Rhinolophus ferrumequinum: one gene and its partners. The protein of the gene in region 1 interacts with the protein of each later gene in a biochemical or structural test. Links are inferred from orthologs where the notes say so. Each region holds a gene or a part of one and is shown in the gene's direction. Other genes may lie near its edges. The genes, in order: NOXO1, NOXA1 and cytochrome b-245 light chain.

What was found.
Region 2: the proteins of NOXO1 (region 1) and NOXA1 form a complex in vitro, tested with the Homo sapiens proteins (2 studies listed by IntAct). The link is inferred for Rhinolophus ferrumequinum from reciprocal best matches to the Homo sapiens genes NOXO1 and NOXA1.
Region 3: the proteins of NOXO1 (region 1) and cytochrome b-245 light chain form a complex in vitro, tested with the Homo sapiens proteins (3 studies listed by IntAct). The link is inferred for Rhinolophus ferrumequinum from reciprocal best matches to the Homo sapiens genes NOXO1 and CYBA.

Annotation. Positions count from the first base shown.
Region 1 is NW_022680357.1:3,725,849-3,733,092, reverse strand, and holds NOXO1 (NADPH oxidase organizer 1), read left to right. Parts: upstream 1-4,501; 5' UTR 4,502-4,573; coding exon of another isoform or gene 4,574-4,639; 5' UTR 4,640-4,641; coding exon 4,642-4,821; intron 4,822-5,009; coding exon 5,010-5,365; intron 5,366-5,541; coding exon 5,542-5,723; intron 5,724-5,817; coding exon 5,818-5,931; intron 5,932-6,229; coding exon 6,230-6,347; intron 6,348-6,437; coding exon 6,438-6,705; 3' UTR 6,706-6,735; downstream 6,736-7,244. Other genes in the region: GFER (FAD-linked sulfhydryl oxidase ALR), read right to left, coding at 1-68, 950-1,146, 1,469-2,248; TBL3 (transducin beta-like protein 3), read right to left, coding at 7,056-7,165. UniProt on the Homo sapiens protein: Constitutively potentiates the superoxide-generating activity of NOX1 and NOX3 and is required for the biogenesis of otoconia/otolith, which are crystalline structures of the inner ear involved in the perception of gravity.
Region 2 is NC_046295.1:83,440,870-83,448,545, forward strand, and holds the start of NOXA1 (NADPH oxidase activator 1), read left to right. Parts: upstream 1-4,603; 5' UTR 4,604-4,897; coding exon 4,898-5,074; intron 5,075-6,303; coding exon 6,304-6,386; intron 6,387-7,109; coding exon 7,110-7,218; intron 7,219-7,676.
Region 3 is NC_046298.1:33,294,506-33,301,449, reverse strand, and holds the start of cytochrome b-245 light chain, read left to right. Parts: upstream 1-3,868; 5' UTR 3,869-3,950; coding exon 3,951-4,008; intron 4,009-6,944. Other genes in the region: MVD (diphosphomevalonate decarboxylase), read left to right, coding at 1-80, 1,032-1,140, 1,822-1,902. UniProt on the Homo sapiens protein: Subunit of NADPH oxidase complexes that is required for the NADPH oxidase activity that generates, in various cell types, superoxide from molecular oxygen utilizing NADPH as an electron donor.

The DNA of each region.
Region 1 (7,244 bases):
TGTGCAGACGGCATAGCCACTGGGTTAAACAGGCCCGTGTGCTCGTGTCTGGCTCGTTCCTGCATATCCTGCATGGGGGAGCACATGGAGGACGGGGGGCAGGCAGTGGCTCCATTGCCCCTGCCCCACCAGCTCCTTGCCGGCTCAATCCAGGGAGGAGATGGGACCCTGCTGTGAGCTACACCCAGGAGTGCTCTCATGCTCTGAGACAGTAAGTCCCAAAACAGGGCAGACCCTGCAGCATCCAGACGGGGTGGACTCCTAAGCCTGCTCAAAATGCCACTTAGGGAGCTTGGCAAACACTGACAAGAGCCCAGGGCAAGAAATTAAGTCACAGACCAGGCAACTTTACAACCTCTTAACAATCAGGAAGCCTCACCCCAGCTTCCCTGGCCCCCGGCAGTGTGGAAGGGGTGGGGCGGGCACAAAGGCATAACTGAAAACCAAACCTGTTTCCTAGCAACTGGGGCCCTGGTGCCCCACCTCAGCAAGAGACCTGGTTCTAACTGCTCAGGCTTCAAACAGCAAGGGCTTTCCTGCCCCCCCACATCCAGCCCAGAAATGCCTATGGATGCCAAACAATAAAAAAAGTGGGTTCTCAAGGTCTTGAAACTAGCAGTGCTGCTCCAGAAGTCAGGCAAGGTGGAGTCCTCCTTAACTCGCAGAAGTTTCCATCAGTGCTAAGCAGGGACCTTGTGAGAGAAGTCCTGCAGACCTGTGGCTGCAGAAAGCAGCAGTGTCCAGAAGCAACCCCAGGGTGTTTGGCCTTTGAGAAAGATGGCTCAGATGACCCAATCCCCATTCCGTTGGTGGTCCCTGCTCGTGGCAACCCTCTGCCACCTCTGCACCTATTTCTCTAGGCTCCCCTTTATGACATCAGTGAGGGACCCCAGACCCAGGCTCCACGTGGGATGCTCTGCTGCCTGCAGATGGTGCAGACACAACTTACCTTTTCCTTATGTCTTCTGCACACTCCTCACAGGGGTAAAACTTGGAAAATAAATGTATGAACTGGGCCATGTCTTGCTGCTGTTCTGCGGTGGGCACGTCAGGGTAGTAGGCGGCCAGGGTGTGAAGGACAGACCAGCTGTGGCGGCCCAATTCCTCGCGATCCTGAGGACAATCTTCCCTAAACTTGCTGTCCCGCTGCAGAAGGAGGCCGATCAAGGGTCAGTTCGGTCTTCCCGGACCAGAAGCCTACAAAACTCCCCCTTTGCCCTCCCCAGCCGGATCCTGCAGCGGATCCGGCCCACTTGTGGCTGAAGGTCTAAAGGCCAACCCTGTGGGGCATAAGTCTGTCAGGCATAGGACCTGTGGCCGCTCGGCCTTCGCATTGGGAGATCTGCCCAGGGTGCCTGAGAACAAGATGTGGAGCCCGAGGTTGGGGTGGGGTGTATGCGGGCCGGGGTTAGGGGTAGGCAGGGCTTGCAGGCCTCTGTGGGGAAGTGGCGCCTCCCGACATCTGCACCTTCTGCTGCGTCCGCATCCACGTCTTGAAGTCCACGCAAGCCCGGCAGGGCCGCCTTCGGGAGGTGTCATCGACGACCTCAGAATCGGGGGTCGGTGCCTGGGTTAGCGTCGGGGCCGAGGCGGCGGCATCTCTCCGCCCTGCCCCCCGGCCGCGCGCGTCCGTCACCAGGTCCTCCATCGCCTCGGAGCGCGCGCCGCCTGGCAGGAAGGAAAAGAGGTTCCCGCCGCCGAAGCGCCCCCGATCGCTGGGCGCCGCCATATTGCCCGCGCAATGTCTGCCGGGCCAGCTCGGCCTCCAGCTCGGTCTCCAGCTCGGCCTCCAAGTCGGCCTCCAGGCCAGCGCGCGCGCCGCCGCCAGGGCGCGGCCACAGGAGCCGGGCGCGCGCGCCGCGGGTTCGGGCGTGGAGGCCGGGCCTGAGTTGGGGCTGAGGGCGGGTTCGGGGGCGGAGCCTGGGGCCGGGGCGGGGTCCGCCGTGGAGGCGGGGTCCAGCACAGAGGCAGGGCTGGGATGCGCGACCCGCACCCGGGAGGAGGCCGAGCGGGAGGACTGCGTCGGGTCCAAAAATGCGCCGGAGGCCCGGGTGAGGCCGGAGGCCCGCGTCCTCGCGGCACCCCTGGGGCTAGTTCCGCGGTCCAAGCCAGGCTTGCGTTGTCCAGGGCGGCGCTCCCGCTTTCTCCAGTAGAAGAGGAACGTGTTGTGGAAGGTGCGCCGCGGCCGAGCCGTGGACTCGGGCTGTGGTTTAGGCGAAGTCCGTGTTGCGGCCCTTGACGCCCCCATCGCTCCGCTCCGACTGTCCCACGTGCGGGCGGCCAGAATCTGTGCCTTCAGCCCCGGCTCGCCCAAGGGCCGGCTGCGCGGCGCCCTGGCAACGCGGGGCGGGGCCGTGAGCGCACAGAAGGCCCCGGCGCTCTAGGGCCGGGTCCCGGGATTAGCCTCCATGGCCGGTGCCACGGCAACGGGCGCCTGGCAAGGCTGGGTGGGGCCGTGCCTGCAAAGGAAGCTGCACATGTCTCTGGACTCCTGTGCGCACCGAACGGCCCCGGATCCTGTAGCCAGCATGAAAGGGTTAACTCCACGTCAGGAGTGGCCTCAGGGATACCTCTGCTTGCTTACGTACACTCATTCATTTCGCAAATATTTATGTAGTGCCTAATCTGTTCCGAGCACTGTTCCAGGCGCTGGACAGGGCGGGGAGCAAGATCTGACCCTGATCTTAGCTCATAGTCCGGTATGGTCAAGACGGAAACAACAAAAACAAAAACAAGTCACACTAATAAATGTTCATTTACAAACTGTGGTGGGGGTCCTAACAGGGTGTGGTAAATCCAGGTGGCCTCCTTTAGGTGACCTTTAGGCAGAAGCCCAAGGATGAGGAATCAGCTGTGGAGGGCAGTGAAGGCCAAGGCTGGAGGTGGGAGGGTCTTGGTCTCGCGTGGGCAGTAAGGCCAGTGGGATAGGACTTGTGGAGGAGATATCCAGAAGGGGGCAGGGGCCCGCCAAGGACTTGGTTGGCTATCGCGGGAATTGGGAATTTACTCGGACAGTGGGAAGATCCTGGACAGTTTTGAGCAGGGCTACCTCTGCCTGATCCCGATCCTGTTTTGCAGGTTTCTCTGGAGAGTCCATTTCATGGGAGCAAGTGAGGGACACGGTCATTGGATGGATAGGGGGGCTGTTTGCCCGGGTGAGAGAGGAGGGGAGGGGCTATGGAGAGGGAAAAAGTGGAAAGGACTCAGGGTTACTGGGGGTGTGAAGCAGGGGCTGTCGGTTGGGGCAGGGAGGGGGCCTCAGCATCCTTCTAGGTCCCTGGCTGTGAGTAAATTGTCCCTTCCCCAGCTTCTCTGTCTTCCAGGGGAGCAAGGTCTGTCCCACCCTAGACCCTGCCAGGCCCCCACTGAGGTTGGGGAGAGTGTGGCAGCTGGGCTGAAGGCACGCTGCAGATAAGGCCTATGTCAGCAGGTGTTCATTGTCTGGACCAAGACCAGGGTAGGTTTGAGGGCTTCAGACAGAGCCACTGGTCAGACACACAAAAGCCTTTTGTCTAGGCCATGGTCGGTTCCTGGAAGGATGCCCTGGAAAGTGACGTCTTCCTGGACGGCTTCAGGTTGGGGGCAAGGTTTAGCCAGCCCTAGGGGGCATAAGTCAGAGCTGGTGGCCCCAACAACAGGAAGAACCACTGTGCACCAAGGTTAGATGGGGCTCCAGAAATCTCCCCTATGAGGAAGCAGCCCAGTAATATGGGGCACTTGGACTTGGGCAGGCTTTCTGGGGATTCCCGTCAGTTGGGGAATAGCCACTCCTGATCTCAGAAGTTGTGTTTGCAGTAACTTGTAATAAATCATGAATTCCGAGTCGGTTCTCAAAACCACCTTAGTCACCACCTCCCCCACCCCAAGCGTCTGTGACGATAGAGATGGACCGTCTTCTTCCTGCTGCCCCAAGTCTACCCACCACAGGGGAACCTCTGGGGTGAAGTTGTGAGGCCTGCCTCTCCCCAACACACACAGAAATACTGACATAAATGATCCATTTAACACATTTCCTTCTCTGTGACTGTGGTGTTATTAAGGGATTTTCCCTTCAAGGTGAGGGTTAAGCAGTTCCTGATAAATGGGTGACCTCTCCAGGTGAGTTCGAAGACAAAGCAGTGGGCCACACCCTGGCAACAGGCTCTCACCATTCCCAGCATTAACAGGGTGTGGGAGAGCCGGGAGATGGGGAGATGGGCCAGGCCTGGCGGCCCTTTGATGGCTTTTCCCACGGCCAGTCTTGGGCAGGAGGGCCTCAGGCAGCAGTCCTAGCATCTCCACCGCCTCTGTGCTCCCCCTCCCACCCTCACGCCCTGTGCTTCAGCCCCTCCACCCAGATCTTCAGCTTGCAGTGCAGTGAGGAAGCTGCGAAGGGACACAGGTGTAGGGGCAGCGCCGCAAGGACCTGGCAGGTCTCAGGAGTCATAGGGGAATTCCAACCACGCTTCCGGTGCCCAGGAGTGCAAACCCTCCCAGGAGTGCAAACCCTCCCAGTGTGGGCAGGGAGACAGCAGAACCCTCCATCACATCCCGCCAGCTCCAGAAGCCCAGGACTGAGACCAAGGCCACAGCTATGGCAGGCCCTCGGCACCCAGTGTCAGTACGTGCTGCGGCTCTGGTGGAGACAGAGAAGTTCCAGGTATGACCCTACAGGTCCCTGCCAACCTCAAGGAGGAAGGAGGGAGGGAGGGAGTTCATGGTCTAGCCCCTCCCAGGTGCCCCCAGCATTTTCTCCAACAGACATTCGCCTTCTCTGTGCGCTGGTCGGACGACAGCAACACCTTCCTGCGCAGGAGCTGGGATGAGTTCAGGAGGCTCCATGTGAGTGAGCCTGGGGTGATCTGATTCCCCTCAACTGTATGACCCACCAATGACCCCGGCTGGGGTGCCTGCCCTCACGCCCACCCCACACGGGCTTCCAGTCCTTACAATCCCAGCAAGCGACCCCTGCCCTTTCCAAGGGTACCTGGTGGGCTTTCGGACACCAATACCCTGGTTCTCTCCCTTAGAAGAACCTCAAGGAGACCTTCCCGGTAGAGTCGGGCCTACTGCGGAGATCTGACCGCGTTCTTCCCAAGCTTCAGGGTCAGGCTGGCAGAGATCCCCGGACGGGCTGGGGTGGCAGCAGGCGGCCTGGTGGGGGAAGCCCTGGGGGTGGGGTTACATGGTCCGTCCCTGTTCTGCCCACAGATGCATCGCTGCTGGTGCGCGGGGGGCGCACGGGTCGTGGCCTGGTGCGCCTGCAGCTGCTGGAAGCCTATTTGCGGGCGCTGCTGGCGATTGAGCGCATGCCCTGTGACCCGGCTCTCACTAGCTTCTTTGCGCCGCAAACCCGGGACCTAGAGCCCAGGCTGCCACCTGGCAGGTAACTGACCAGCCCCCAACTCCCTATAGGAAGCACTTGGAGGGTGGGGGTGGCGCGGTGAAGGGGCCTTGGAGGTGTGAAGGCAAGCCGGCTAAGTGGACTTGCAAGGATTGGCTGGCCGATCCCCACACTTCCCACCCGCTCACGTCTCCTCCCTGCACCCACCCCCTTCCCAGCCTTGTCATCTTGCCTGTCCCAGAAGAGCCCGTAGCCAGCCCTGCGCGCAGCCCTTCCATCCACAGCCTGGAGGCTCAGAGCCTGCAATGCCTACAGCCCTTCAGCACCCAGGACACACAGGGCCGGCCCTTCCACACACGGGCCCAGGAGGTCCTGGATGTGCTGCTGCGACACCCCTCAGGTGGGGCTGGGCAGGAGTCTGGGGACTCAACCTTCTGCCTCCAGGATCCCAGTGGGCCTGGGGATCTGAACCCCTGGCCACCTCTTGCCCACAGGCTGGTGGCTGGTGCAGAACGAAGACCAGCAGACGGCGTGGTTTCCTGCTCCCTACCTAGGGGATGTGGCCCCAGGCCAGGGAGAAGAGGGGGGCCGGCCCCTACGGAGTAGTGGTATGAGACTAGCCTTCCTTCCCGTGCCTACAACCCCTACCACCTGTAGGCAGCGTGCAGCAAAGCTGGGCCACAAACACTGGGCCCAGGGGAGGGACGCCATGGAGTGACTAGGTGGTGGCAGTGGCCCCCTTAGCACGTGCTAGGTCCCCATAGTAGGAGGGAGCCACAGGAGGTTTTAGAGTTGTCCTGGGGTCAGCAGAGATGCAGAGAGGGAGCCTGGAGGGGGCGATTCAGTGGGAGGTAAGGGGACCAAAAAGTGGGAGCCCTCTGGTGACCCTCAAGCACCCCACTCCAGGGTTCCAGTTCTGTGCATCCCGTGCCTATGAGGGCAGCCGGGCTGACGAGCTGTCAGTGCCTGCTGGAGCGCATGTGCACGTCCTGGAAATGTCTGATCGCGGCTGGTGGCTGTGCAGGTATGCAGGTGTGGGGGCTTTGTGGGGAGTGGGGGTGGGGGTCTAGTTGGGGGCAGGGCCACGACTAACCAAACCCTGCTGTCTTCTCAGGTTCGGTGGCCGCACAGGTCTTCTCCCCTCTGTGCTGCTGCAGCCCGATGGACTGGGCATGCTCCTGAGTGGACCAGGGCTCCACTGTGGGGCAGAGGACGGAGAGAACAGGCCAGGCAAGGCCCAGAGCTCCCCTGAGCCCAACCAGGCCACAACCATTCCCCCCACTGTGCCTGCCCGCCCCCCACTGAGTGTCATTCAGAGTCGCTGCTGTACTATCACCCGCAGAGCACTGCGGCAGGCCCCAAGGGGTCAGGGACCCCCTTGAGGGTGTGTGGAATCACACGGAAGGCTGCACTGACTGCCTCACAGCTGGAGCGGCAGGCCAGAGGCTCCAGACCCCAGGGAGCCACACCACTCCCAGGGCAGAGGGAGGTGCCTTTGAGGGTGGGACTCCCTGGCTGGGGGGGGCCAGGAGGCTACACTCTCCCATTTCCTTTGAGTAAAAAGCTCTTCTGATTGACCCACACGCAGTGTCTGTGCTCAGGGGCAGGGCCTGCTGGATCACGGCCAGGCCAGGGCCCAGGGAGGGGGGGTTGGCCGGAGTTGTGATCTTGATGAGACAACGTCCAGACAGACACAGGGAGCTGGGATAGAAGAGTACACCTTCTGCGTGTTTCAGAGGGCTGAGGGGGCCGCAGGGAGAGTGGGCAGCTTCATGTTGTGCCACAGGAAGTCCAGGAAGGTGGCTGCCTGCAGTGTCCGGCTGAGCCGCTGAAAGTGGCGCTCTGGGGAATGACAGAGGTTGTCATGGGGTCCACAGAGTGTGCTGAGCTACTCCCTACCCCCAACCTGGGGCTGTGCCCA
Region 2 (7,676 bases), on another chromosome or scaffold:
TAGGTGTCCCTGTCCCCTCCACAATCCCCGCTGCCTGGGCCGGCCTGCTCCTCCTTCTTCTTATGTGGCCTGAAGCGCCTCAGACAGGCCCTCTGCCCTGGAGGCTTGTACGCAACTCCCTCGCTCATGCTCCATCTTTGGGGCCCTTGTCCTTTTCACAGGCTCCGTCTTCATTTCACTCGGCTCATCGGGCCGGTTTGCTGTCAGTCTGCTGTAAAGCCCTCACACTCTTACTTCTCCCCACAGAAGGAGCAGCACTCAGCCTGGGGATGCGTGTAGGGCACCAGTCCTGGCAGATGCCCACTGTAAGGCCCAACACCACACAGCACGTTCTCCAGTTCAAGGCTGCAAGGACACCAGGACACTGTCTGCCTGGAGCATGGAGACCTGGGCCTCCGATCCTGCAGGAGAGTATTAAAACTTTCCCGATTTTATACTCTCCTTTCAGCTCCGCCCTTCAAAGGAGACTAATCCTGAGGCCCTTCCTGTTTGCCTGCAGGTGGGCTCAGCGGCTAGAGGAGAGCACACCTGTTGGAATGCTGTTCTTCCTGGGTTTCTTCTTTAAGACAATTTCCGGGGAGGGGGTCCTCGGTTAACACGTATGTGTTACTAAACGGCCAGCAGCAGGCTGAAGTGGTAGGTTCTGGAGACCAGCCTTACGGTGGTGCCTGGATGAGCCCTCCAGGAAAAGGCAGCCAACACCCAGAGCTCTAACTTGGGAGACACTCTCTGAACCTGTTACAGACGTGGCTCAGGGTGACCAGTGTCTCAGTCATGCCCAAGGCTATTTTTATTTCCCGAGAGAAAAGTCTTATGTGGCATTTTATTTTTTCTTGGCAAATGCCATTGTTTAAAGGAAAAGCCTTCCTTGTACTGGGCTATAGTCAATTCCCAAATATCCGGTCCTGTCATTTGATTGGCATCTGTGCTCCAGAATGAAGCCCTGAGTGACTAACCTCCTTCAAAGGGAAGTTCCAGCGTCAGGCTGGCCTCTCGCTGAGTCTGAGCCTTACCTTGGGTAACATCTCCCTTTTCTGGACTCTTCTACTGTAGGAATCGTGTGAACTAGACAGTCCCAGCAGGTCACAGCTGGTCCCAACACTGCGGTGTCCACTGGGGAGGACATTTTAGCTAAATAGAAGGAAGCTTTTAAACAACACTTAAACCATTGAATTTTAGAGCTGGGAGACTCTTAGAGGTCATTTGATCATTCCAACTTTCAGGATATCTGTAAAATAGAAAAGTCTTCTTAAAATTATTTTTAAAAAGTAAACGTTTTATTTAGAGATAATTGTAGACACACATGCACGTGTAGGAAATAATAAAGGGATACCATATACCCTTTCCCCAGTTTTCAAGGTGGTAACATCTTAAAAACTACAGTCAAAATCGCAACCAGGATATTGGCACTGATTCAGTCAAGACATGGAGACTCCATTCCCCCCCCAGGCTCCCCTCTGCCCTCTTATAGCGCCCCCCCCAAGCCGTTCATCTGTTAGTGACCCCAGACAGCCACTAATCTGACCTCCATTTATATAATTTGTCATTTCAAGGATGTTATGTAAATGGATAAAGTGTGTAACCTTTTTTCACTCCACTTATTCCTGGGACTGCCCGAGTCGCTGCCACCCTTTGCCCTTGTGGCCGAGTGGCCCCCACGGTGTGGTGCATGCCTGGTCACCACTTCCCCACTGAAGAGCTTCTAGGCTATGCCCAGGCCAGCGGTCTGGGAGACTCAGAGTTCCCGAGGAAGCGGGTCCTCAGGGGCACAGGGTTGTAAACATGTCTGAGCAGCACAGCTGCCAGAGGCCTTCCTAAGCACTTCACAGGCCATCACCCCAGCCACGTCTCACAGGTGCCCTCCGAGGTAGGCACTCATTGTCCCCATCCCACAGGTAAGGAAGTGGCAGGCTCTGAGAGCTGGCCCAGGGTCACACAGGGAGGACACACAGCCACAGTGAGTCACAGCCCACCAGCCCCAAAGGCCCAACCAGGGAAGGAAGGCGGCCAGCACGGAAGGTAAGGGGGGTCTCTGAGTCCCAGCTGCACTCTGGGCTCTGACAGCTGTCAACACAAGCCTCCCCAGGACCCTGGAGGCCACGAGGCTCTGTGCAGGTAACAGGACAGCCCGTCTACAGGAGCATTCCTGGGGTTGGCTGCTGTGGTGGATAATTTTGTGTCAACTGGCGAGGCCATGAGGCCCAGATATTCGGTCACGCAGTCACTGTTGCCGTGAAAGTCTTTTTAAGATGAGAGTAGCATTTGACACAGTGGACCTGTAGCAAAGCAGATGGATCGCCCTCTGTAATGTGCACGGGCCTCATCCAATGACTTGAAGGCCTTAAGAGGAGAAGACTGAGGTTTCCTGGGAAGAGAGAATTCTGCCTCCAGCGGCCTTACCTTGAGCTGCAACACTTGCTCTCCCCTGGGTCTCCTGCCTGCCAGCCTGCCCTGCAGATTTTGGACTTGCCAGCGCCCACAACTGCTGGAGCTAACTCCCTCTGGTCCGTCAGTCTCCGTACCTGTGTTGACGTTGCTCTCTGTGGAAACTGAACAAAGGAAACCTTATTTCCAATGGAATCGGGAGGCCAGAAGGGGGCGCACTCACGCAGGACCTCTCCGAGTCCATTACCGACCCCAACAGAACCCTCCACAGGCCGGAAATCACCAACAGGAAAGACGTACAAGGAACCAGCCAGCCAGCAACTCAGTGGCAAGACACCATCATCTGCCTGGAGTCTCGCTCTACTCCAATGGGCTAGCATCCAAAACAAGCCTCCCAACTTCCTCGTTTTTTTCCATAAAAAAAGTTCCTCTCCGTTGTTTGCTGGACTCGCCTATGGCTTTGCTATAGCTTGCACGCCCTGAATAGCAATTCTTTGTTGTTATTGATAAACCCATTTTTGACGGTAAAACAACTTTTGAGGTCAACAGAGCCCATCTGCCCGTCACCGCAGGGAACAACCGAGCCACGGGGATTGACTGAAGCTGGGTTAGTGCTGCTCGTTGAGACTTGATAAAGACGAGCTGGGCCTTTAAGGACACCCATCAGGTCCGAGGTGTCAGGGGGGAGCTGGTCTCCTGGGCGTTCATGAGCCCCCCTAGTCCAACACTATCGTCCTAACTTCCTTTTCATAAAACCCTCTGGCTCTAACTTCCTGTCTCCCCGCCATCTTTTTTCGTTGTTTTCTTCGTTTGTTTCCCCTCCTCTTCCCCCTCCTTCAGTTCCAGCCCTTGTTTCTCAGTCTAGTCGTGTAGGACACAGCTCCCCGGCCCCTGCTGGTATGAACCTTGCGCTCCCCCCGGCTGAGGCAGTCGGTCGCTGGTTGTTGGTCGGCCACTCACAGCAGCTCATGGCAGCTCTCGCTGGCTGCCGGCCACTCACGATGGCCATTGGCCACCCATGGTGGCACATGGTAGCCCACGGCAGCACACAGCTGCTCAGGGCAGCCCAGCTCCAGGCAGAGCTGTTGTTCACAATCTTAGCTGTAGAGGGCGCAGCTCACTGGCCCATGTGGGAATAGAACCGGTGACCCCCACTTTAGGAGCACCCGGTGCTCCAACCACCTGAGCCACCAGGTGGGTCCAATAGCCTCCATCTTTACACACAAGGCAGGATATGCACATGGCCAGCGGGTCTGCTCGGGCTGGTGCTGGGTTGCAGCCCTTTTTTCTTTTCCTGAATAAATCCTTTTTGGTGATGGAATACCTAGTCGATATTACTGCTCAGTCTACACCCTCCATCTCTCTGGAGGAAAGATGGGGACAGGTGACATGCAGCACATGAGACGGTCCTCAAGTGTAGCTGGGGCGTTGTCGTGACCTGCTTTTCCACGGGGGGACCTGGGGATGCCCCTCTGGCCCCGAGTTGGGGTCGGGCTGCACACCAGGCTTCCAGAAACCTGGGCCTTCGTTTCCCTACCTGGGGGTGAGCGCCAGACCTGCCCCTCCAGTCCCTCACAGCTGGGTCCCTCTTCAGCGCTGGGCGCTGGCATGGGAGACTCCAGGCCACTTGTGGACTGTGCCCTGTGCCCCAGGACCTGCTCTCACGGCCCAGCCCTCCCCGCGGAGCCCCGAGGACAAGGGCTTCGCGCCTGTCAGACGGGGCCCGCGGCCTGGTGGGGAGGGGGTGACAGCGGGGACCCTCGAGGCCAGCCAGGCCGCCAGCTCGGCCACGAAGGGGCGCTGGGCTGAGCCCCAGCCGACCCGCAGCCCTCGGCCCAGCCCTGCTTCCTGGCGCCCCAGGCGATCCCGAGCCCGCCCCACCTGGCCCGCGCCCTAGAGGTTGCTCACCTGTGCCTGCGAGGTCCGCCCGGAACCTTGGCCCGGCCCCGGCAGCGACGTCAGCAGCAGGCGGGAGGGTTTCCCCGGAGCCCCGAAGCCAACGCAGCCGTGGGTGGGTGGGAAAGGGGATCTTGGGGGCGGCCAGGCAAACCCGAGCTCCGAGCTCTCGGCGGAAGTCGGAGGGCGGGGCAGAAACTGAAATGGGCGGCCCAGAGCGGGGCTGACTGGGAGGGGGCGGGTCCAGATCCGGGAGGGGCGGGCTAGTGCGTGTGGGCGTGGCCAGGGTGGGGCCATGCCGGGGCGGGGCTGACTCGGGGAAGGGGCGGGGCCGCTCTCCTGTCGAGGGGCGCGGAGGACCGCAGGAAGAGAGCGCACCTGGCGCTCACCGACGTCCCGCCCCCAGCACCACGGCCCAGCGGCCCTCCGCCCCTGACCCCCCGCGGGCTTCGGAGGGTTCCCCGCAACCCCTGCCAGCTTCCGGACCCAGGCGTCCCTACTCCGCGGTCCTCAGTCCCCCAGTTATCCCACGGGACCCCCAACGCCGCCGGCCGCACGCCCGCCCGGAAGCAACGACTTACGCCGCGGCCGGGCCGGGACAGGGGCCGACGTCGCCATGCCCTCGTTCGGTGACCTGGTGCGCGACTGGCAGCGGGGCGCGCAGGCCGTGGCGCGCGGGGATTGGGGCTGCGCCCTGCAGCTCTTCTCGAGCGTCCCGGACCCGCCCGCCAGGATATGCTTCAACGTGGGATGTGTGCACCTCCTGGCGGGGGACCCGGAGGCCGCGCTGCAGGTGAGCCAGGTAGCCCCGGGGTTGGCCTCAGGGACCCTACCCCCGGGGAAGCTGTCCTCTGACCCTGGGGTGCCTTACTGTGCGCTGGGTCAGTGAGCGCTGTGATAAAGCCCAGGGCCCACGCCATTCCTCCCGACGGTCACCTGGAAAAATCGCTCCGGTGTTGTGCCTCAATGAACACCTACCGCAGATGGGAGCAGTGTGGTCCCAGGACCCCACCCTGAGCTGAGTCAGGGCCAGGATGGGGGTGCAGGGCTCCCTCAGTGCCTCCACTATGTGGTGACCATGTGCCAGACTCCACAGTCGTGGGGCGGGGCACTGGTTCGGGTGCTCAACGCCCAGGTGCTAACATACCTGGAAACGCTTGAGGCCGGATTCCCTGGGTAGGGGTTACCTGTCCCCCAAGGTGTAGGGTTTGGGCCAGGGGCTTCAGCCGATGCCTATCGTGATGGTGAGGAGACAAGGTCTGTGCCCAATCCCAGATCTCAGTGCTCACCTGTCTCCCAACCTGCTCCTGGAAGCAGAACCAGAGCTGAGGGGGGCGCAGGGCCACTCTCTGCCCTGTGAACGCTTTGTAATCAGGAAATGCAGCCCCGGGGCAGAAAGCACCAGTTCCTACAGTTGTGCAGATGGTCAGTGAAAAGTCACAGATGCAAAGAGGATGTAAGAGTCCCGATGTCAGTGCCATTGGAGGAGATGGGACCACACCTATCATTTCTTACCTCTGCATACGAACCTACAGTTCTCAGTAGCCTTTCCAGTTGAAAATGTCCAGGAAAAGAAATCTGATCTCTGGACAGCAGGTGACTGTAGGCGTGAGGGGTCCAGTCGTCACTTCTGCATACTTTAACTTCTGTGATTTAAGTGGGGGGAGGGGCCCGGGGTTGTGGGCAGAGGGTCTGAGGGCTCGTTTCTCCCCTACCTAACAGGAGGAGAGGGACTGTTACTAAAGGCAGTCAAGGTGAGGGTAGTAGCATAGGCATTCTAGTTGGGAGGCAAAGATTGTAAAAAGTAGACGGAACGGCTACCATTACTAAAACCGACTGTCTCTGAGAAGCAGGACACGAGGAAGGGCAAAGCTGGGACTGCAGTCTGTCGTTTGAACACTACATGAAACTTGATTTGGCTGCTCTGTGTGGCGGGAGAGCAAACAGAGCCCTGGACAGCAGCTGTGACGTGGGCTGATGGGGTTATAGACCTTGGCATTGCATGGGCATCTCTGTTCCCAGGCATTTGACAAAGCGGTGACCAAGGACGCCTGCATGGCTGTCGGCTTCTTCCAGCGAGGAGTGGCCAACTTCCAGCTGGAGAGGTGAGCCCGGGGGCGCCTGTTCCTTCTCTGATGGCCCTTTGTACTCCTGCCTCCGCCTCTCCCCCACGATCACCTCTCACTGACCCCTCCTGGACGGGAACCTGGGAGCAGGTGCTGTGATCACACTGAGCCGCACGCAGGGCAGAGCTGTCTCCATGCCGGTGTTCACACAGCGCTTTCCTGGGCACCCTTGTGCGCCTCCCACGTCTGCTGTGTGGGACTGGTGTGTTTACACCCAGTGCAGGCATGGGGACCGAGGGAGGGCTGTGGCGGTGTGTCCCAGGACGGAGGAGCTTGGGGCCTCCCTGCTCGCTGGGCTGTCCGCCCTGAGGCCCTTCCCAGAGCAGCAGGCAGGGCTGTAGGACAGGGCCCGTGCTGGGCGGGCAGGCAAGCTCTGGGGCAGCCTCCCCTCTCATCTGCAGAAGCCTCCCTGGGGGTGGGGGTCCCGGGAGGCACCGCCCAGCTGGGTCTGGGGTGCAGACAGGGGCCCCAGGCAGGGGAGCAAATGTCCAGGATTCAGAGCTGGGTCAGAGCACAGCTGCGTACTGAACCCTTGACCCGTTGTGGGGACTTGAGTGCCCACTGTGGGCTGAGATCTGGGCGACCAGCCCTGCCCCCAGCAGGTGTCCCTGGAGCTGGGGGTAGGGGCAGGAGGAAGGCTGTGGCAGGGCTGGGCCCCTTTTTCTGCGGCTGCTGAGGCCCTCGGCTCCCCTGCTGCCACAGATTCCAGGAGGCCCTGTTCGACTTCCGACTGGCCCTGGAGCAGCTGAGGGGCAATGCCGCCATTGACTACACACAGCTGGGCCTGCGGTTCAGGCTGCAGGCCTGGGAGGTGAGCATGTCTTGGCTGGTGCAGAGAGCTGGCCTCCATTGGCGGAGCTGGCTTGGGGTTCCCAGGTGCTGCCCATGGCTGGGCGGCCCAAGTGGTCCTGCCCGGCCCCTGGGTTCCTGCACGCCCCGTTCTCTGGGTCCTGTTGTTACTGTCACAGCTGTCCCCATGGTCCCTGCCAGTCACTTCCCCCAGGAGGCTCAGGGTGTCAGCGAGGGTGGGGCCACCAGGAATACATTCACCCAGGATAGGGGTAGGGATGGAGGAAAGGCGGGTGGTGGGAGGGGGAAAAGCTTAGTTGTGGGCCCCTGGCAGGGGCAGGCAGGGGGTATCCCCACCCTCGGCTCTGCACTTGGGCCTGTTCCCGGCCTCTGGGGACAGTGCTGGCACTGAAGGAGGGTTGTTGGTAGAGGCCCAGAGTGCTCCCAGCATGTCCGGAGCCTCTGGGAATCCTGGAGGAA
Region 3 (6,944 bases), on another chromosome or scaffold:
ATCTTTACCCTGGACGACACTGTGGCCGAGTTTGTGGCCGCTGTGAGGCACAGCTTCCCCCCTGAGTCAAATGGAGACAAGTGAGTTGTGGGTCCCCCCATTTGGGAGGCCTTGGAGGGAGGAGCAGGGTCTCCTGCTGAGCTCGGGACAGCTGCACCTAAGGCTGCTGCTGAATGGGGAGTCCCGCAGGGGACCACAGGCTGTGTGTCACTAGTATGCCTTGCTGTGACCATGGACTCGTCTTCCTCATACACCCCAGCCCCGTGGTCACAGAGACGGGCACATGCAGCGTCATGGCTCCTATGTGGACAGTACTCAGGGCCCCACTATGGGGACGGAGCATTTGGATTTCTTCCTACCCGTTGTTTTAATGGTCCTTTCTCAGTGTGGGGACACCTTCCTGTAGGGGTGTTGGAAGCGTGCGGGGTCATTTTCTCTGTCTCCGTAATTGGGGTAGTACTGACGTCTAGTGAGTGGGAGGCCGGAATACTAACTTCCTTACCAAGTAGAACAGACCACACTACCATGATGGCCCCCGAGGCCGCTGGTGCCCTCGTTGGAAGCTCTGCTCTCATTGGCCTTGTCACCGCAGTGAGTAGTGTGCAGCTTTTCCTGTTCTGAGGAACATGGTAATGGACTCTTGCTTGACCTGAGGCATTTTCTTCTTAAGTTGTGTTACCCTACTGGGTGGAGCAGTAACCCCAGGCCAGGGATGAACTTAAAACCTCCGGGAGGTTTCTGGAAACCCTCCTCTTCACAGTGACCCCAGCCAGGTCCTTGGTTATTCCTGCTTAGTTTTTTTGTGTGTGCGGTAAAGCACACATACACATAAAGTTGATGATTTTAACCACTTTAAAGTGTACACTTCAGCAGGATTAAGTACATTCAGTGTTTTGCAACTAGCATTTCTATCTGGCTCCAGAATTTTGTGACTCCACGGCAGTCACACCCCTTCCTGTCTCTTGGGTCTGCGTGTCCTACGTTCTTCCCATCAGTGGACTCACAGCACACTCATGCCTTCCTTTCCCCAGGTTTCTGAAAGGGCTGCCCGTGAGGCCTGCCCTGCTCTCAGACGAGCTTAAAGCTGCGCTGGACATGGAACCCACCCCTGGCGGCATCAGATACATCATTGCTACTCAGGTGAGGCCTGGCACCAGCCCTCAGCCCCAGGGCCCAGGGGTCCCTGCGGCCCAGCACACCTGGGGAGGGCCCCATCCGGCACACAGGCCTTGAGGACTCAGACCTGGCACGTCTACCCGGTGAAGGGACTCCCCTTCAGCCCCACTTCATCTGGGCTGGGTAGCCAGGTTGCTAAGAATAACAGCAAAAGGAGGAGGAGTACCACACTTCTGTTTTCAAGGCATCTGGTCCACTATGGTTTGTTTCACTCACTCGCTCTCAGCAGGAACATTTTAAGACATGCTGTGAGGTTTGGGGCAGCATTCCCAGTGCTGAGGGGGGCAGGTGAGGCTGGGAATGTAAGACTCCAGGAGACAGGTGCGACGGGTCCAAGGACCCTCAGGGCTCGCCCACTGGAACCAGATCTGGGTCCCTGCTCAGAGTGGCCGAGCCGGGATTTCACTCAGATCGTCGATTCCAAGTCCCCATGCCCTCAGGTGCCCAGGCCCCGGTCTCTACCTTTCATTGAGTCTGGGTGATAGAGGCCGAGAGACCATGTAGCTCTGTCTGAGGAAGTTGGGCACAGGGCCAGGGTGTCACCACACGGGTGGTCAGCTTCTGACCTGCCCTTACCTGGGAGTTGGGGGGTATACCTGTCCCTCCCTGTCATCCCAACCTGACACTGATTTCTCTACCTGCCAGGTGGGGCCCGGGCCTCAAATCCTGGATGATCCTCTCGCTCACCTCCTGGGCCCCGATGGCCTGCCAAAGCCAGCTGCTTGACCAGTTTCTCGACAGGAGCCTTGGCCGCTGCTTGGAGAAGGGCCGCTTTGCTGGGAGAAGGGGCCACTTTCCACTTTGCTGGGACTGGGGAGCTGCTTGTGGCGGTGCCTGTACTATGCTTTTTGGGGCTGGTGGGTGGCCACCTCGCCCCAGGCCAGGCAGTATGCCGGGGCTGAATAGGGGCAGTGGAGTGACCACTTGCAGGCGCCAGGTGGTCAGGAACGGGCCCCCCACCAAGTGCCTCACCTTCCCCACCTGCACCAATACTGTGCTGAGATGAGGGCTGGGGTCAGATGTGGGACCTGGGGGACCGAGCTGATGGTGGTGAGCTGCTGGTGTGTCTCCCTGAAGGATCTCTGGCCCTGAGCCCTGGAGCCACTCGCACTGACTGAAACAGGAGCTGGGCCACCGGAGATGATGGGGAGTTGGCATCCCTCTGTGGAGCTGGAGGACCAGTCACTGCAGGGAGCTGCCTCTGCAGGCTCCAGAGCCCTCCATAAAGTGCTTTGAACATGACAGTTGTCCCAGCTCCTCTGCCAGAGCTCAGGCCACTGGGTGTGGACGTAACGTTTCTTCATAAAAAGACCAGGAGTTGTCTCCAATGGGAGGTGGGAGAGCAGCACCATGGTGCGTTGTCACAGGGAGCCCTGTCAACAGACCACGGAGAATAAAGCCAGCGTTGCTGATTGGGCCTGGCGTGCTTCTGTCTAAGCAGTGTTGCTGTGTAGGCCGTGGGCAGCGCTCAGCGGGAGGGGTGGGGAGGGTGCGGGCTGCGAGCCTCCTGCAGGAGCAGAGAACTTAGAACTCGCGCATTTGCTAACTTGCTCCTGAAGAAGCTGCCTTCTCCCAAGGTCCCCTCATTGCCCAGCCCTGTGGTGGGTGTTCAGCACACAGCCACCCCCCAGGGCCACAAGCCACACTCAGTGGCTATGGCTCTGACAGGCCTGGGGACATGGTTTGGGCCGGCTTTAAGCTCCCAGTCCATGAAAGAAAGTGGGAAGCAGCTTTGCAGGGAGGAGCACTGATTCAGGAGGGTTCCCCTCAGCCCAGAAGCTTATGGGTTCTGGAGCCCAGGAATTGCTTGCACTTCTAAATGGGTTTTTCCATTGTGTGCAGGTCATCGACCTCCTCTCCACTTTCCCAGCTTCAGCACAGTTGGCTTAGAGGAAGAGGAGAGTGGACATGTACACCTATTGACCTACCTCCTGGTTTCCTGCCTCTCCCCCGGAGAGTCAGCTGCTACCGCTGCTGGGTGGGCAGAGGAGGGAGATGACAAAGGGACAGGGCCAGCACTCTGACATTCTGGGTTTTCCCAGGAGCTTTGTACACCCTGTTTCCTTCCCCTAAGTTAGTCCTGTGGACAGGGCTGCTCACCATACTTGCACTAGCCCAGGGCCAGATGAGGAAGTAGGCGCTGGGCCTGCCACTGACCTTCCTATTGGGCACTGACTTCCAGGGAGGGGTTCCCCAGGCTCTGACTCCTGGTCTGAGGTCCTTCTCCCTTGAGGGGAGTTCCCCCGACCCCGCAGTGGGCATGGTGAAATCGCTGGACCTTTAAACCCTTCTGGGAACCTGGCCTGCTCACTGTCCTCTGTAAGCACCTAAGAGAGCCCAGCATTATGAGGGCACTTTGCCTTCTGAGGCAGGTGTCCATCTCATTGGTCCCCTCTCTGCCTATGTCCAAGACCCCCAAGCGATGCTCAGGATGTCCCAGGTTGACCAGGCTGGGAGCTGACAGGAGAGGTGCCTGGCACCAAGTGGGTGGGGGCCGCTGTTTGCCCCGGGGAAGTGAGGCAGGGGGCCCCTCCGACCCTCAAGCAAAAATTCTGTTGTGCGGGGCAGACCTCCGGAGCACCGCCATAGCCTCGGGCCCCTGCTGTCCAGGCCCGTCACTTGGGAGCGGGACCGGAACTCGGGGCGGGGCGGGGCTGCACCCGAGGAACTAGGGGACAGGGTGGGGGTGGAGCCGGAACTTCGGGCTGGGAGGTGGCTGGCGCGCGGGGCTCAGTGTCCCAGCGGAGCCAAGCCGAACCGCGCTGCGGGTCGCCATGGGGCAGATCGAGTGGGCCATGTGGGCTAACGAGCAGGCGCTGGCGTCGGGCCTGAGTGAGTGAGCCCGGGCTTGGCCCGCGGGGCGGGCCGGCAACGCCGAGACCCCGGGCTGCAGGCCGAGGGACCGGGTGGGCCGGCCACGGGGCCGGGGAGCCAGGGTCCTGACGAGTCAGAGACTCGGCTGCGGGCCGCGAGGCGGGAGCTGAAGCCTGGGGGTGAGGGTCCCCAAGACTTATGCGGAAACCTGCAGCTGCGTGGCGGGGAAGTGGGCCTGGGGCTGCCCGGCAGTGGGAGACCTCGGGCTAGGGAGGCGGTCTGGAGACCCTCCTGTCCCCGCAGATACCCGCGCCCCCGTCCCCTCCCCCTTTCCACTGTCCCCTTTTCACCCCCTCCACCCCACCAGGACCTCACACCACCGATAGAGGAAGTTGCAGCCCTAGGGGAAGAGGCCTTCACCCCGGGTGCTTTCCGGGGAGTTACCACCCTCCAGGATTGGGGAAACCTGGCAGGACCACCCGCTCCTGCTGTTCCTCCTGCCCTGGAGTGGGGCTTCACCCCAGGGGTCGCGACGGGCTCCCTCCCCCGCCCTGAGCCTTCACAGGACATCTAAAACAGCCCAGAGGGACCTCTCCCAGCCCAACTATCAGAGACTGCTTCTGGGGAAGGATGGCAGGCCTCCTCAGTCACGCTGAGCCTGTGTTCAGGAGCTCTGGTGAAAACACAGTGGGGTCTGCACCCCTGTGCTGTACTTGGAAGTGGAACCTCTCAGGGATGGTGAGACTGGGCCCAGGCAGAGTCTGAGGCAAGAGGAAGCTGCCCAGAGGTTCTGCCCGCCTCTGGGGACCTGCCACTTCCAGGAAGGACCTGCACCCAGTGGGAATGAGTGGGTGGAAAGACAGTAGGGAATGTAGTGATGAGGAGGGTCCTAGCCCACCAGCATTCCCCTGGGACCCACCCTGAGGCCCCTCTGCCAGGGGGACAGGAGTCTGGTGAAGCTCTGGGAGGGAAGGGAGCAGATGTAAATGAAGTCTCTCTCGCCGCTGAACTGTAAGATCACGTTTTTGTAAGATCACGTTTTGGGGTGAGCAGTTTTGGGTCATGAAGCCCAATGGTCTGTTCAGGCAGGTCACCCCCTTGAGTTTGGCGTCTAGGGTGAGAAGTCAACGAGTGAGAAGTCAGTGAGTTAGATAGTTGTCACTTTTTTTTTTTTTTTAAAGATTTTATTGGGGAAGGGGAACAGTGTGTACTTCCAGGACTTTTCCAAGTCAGGTTGTTGTCCTTTCTTAGTTATGGAGGGCGCAGCTCAGCTCCAGGTCCAGTTGCCGTTGTTAGTTGCAGGGGGCTCAGCCCACCATCCCTTGTGGGAGTTGAGGAGTCGAACTGGCAACTTTGTGGTTGAGAGGACGCGCTCCAACCAATTGAGCCCTCTGGCCACCCGGGAGCTGAGCGGCAGCTCATTGACTTCATTCTAGTTGTGGAGGGTACAGCTCGCTGGCCCATGTGGGAATTGAACTGGCAGCCCCATTGCCCAGAGCTGGCACTCTAACCAACTGAGCCACCCGTCCGCCCCAGTTCTCCTCACTTCTCCCCAGAGTTGTCCCCAAGCTGTTCCCCTGTCTGCCACAGGTCATGAGACCTTAAACAGCTGCAGACCAGCCTCCCTTCCTCTTACAGCTCCTCAACCCCCAGGAAGTAAAAGGCGACAGAGGGCACCAAACTGGGAGCTCTCTGAGATGCATGGGTTTGAGTCCCCTTGGGTGCAGCACCCCCAGCACCCCCGTTCATGGCATGCCCACTGTGTGCTGGCTGAACCTTCCTTGCCTTAGCTAATGTCCTTAGGGTCTGAGGCTGGAGCTGTTCCTGCATCTACTTTACAGACAGTGAAATCAAACCTAGAGAACGTACAAGCTGCAGCTCAGTTTCCTCCATCACCAAATGAGGCAGTTTATTGGAAGGTCTTCTAGGGCCATTCCTGCTCTGAGTTCCTCCTCTTGCTGACTTTTTTTCCTGATTCAGTATAAATTGCAGCCACCTGAGACTGCTCAGGCCTGGCTGGACCCTGCTAGCAGCTGCCTCCAACAGGCTTCTTTTTTTTTTTCTCATATGTTGAGCTTCTTTTTTTTTTCATATGTTGAGCCGTTCTTTGAGCCGTTCTTTTTTATTTATTTATTTATTTTTAACAGGACTTTATTGGGGAACAGTGTGTACTTCCAGGACTTTTTTCCCAAGTCAAGTTGTCCCTTCAGTCTTAGTTGTGGAGAGCGCAGCTCAGCTCCAGGTCCAGTTGCCGTTGCTAGTTGCAGGGGGCGCAGCACACCATCCCTTGTGGGAGTAGAACCGGCAACCTTGTGGTTGAGAGGACAGGCTCCAACCAACTGGGCCATCCGGGAGCTCAGCGGCAGCTCAGCTCAAGGTGCTGTGTTCAATCCCAGCTGCATGGGGTGGAGCCCACCATCCCTTGTGGGATTCGAGGAGCTGAACTGGCAGCCTTGTGGTTGAGAGCCCACTGGCCCATGTGGGAATCGAACTGGCAGCCTTCGGAGTTAGGAACACGGAGCTCCAACCGCCTGAGCTACCGGGCCGGCCCAACAGGCTTCTTTCTTATTGTAGAAAATTCCATCTAATCAGATCATGTCCCCTCCTGCTGAAAACCCTCCAGTGGGTCCAATTGCGAAGAATAAAAGCCAGATTCTTACTGCTCTGTCCCTGTCCCCCTGCCTTCTCTGTCATTCCAACTGCACAGGCCTCCTCTCTGTTCCCAGATTTCCTAGGCATACCCCAGGACCTTTGCATAAGCGGTTTCTTCTGTCTGAAGCATCCATGGCTGGCTCCGCCATTCATTTCTCAGTTCAAATGTCACCTGCTTAGAAAAGTCTTTCCAGAGCACCTAGACATCTCTGTCACAGTCTCTTGTTCTAGTTCACCATCTCTGATGTTTATTTCTGTCCCCTCCTGAGACTATAAGCCCCACGAGAACTGAGGCCTTATCT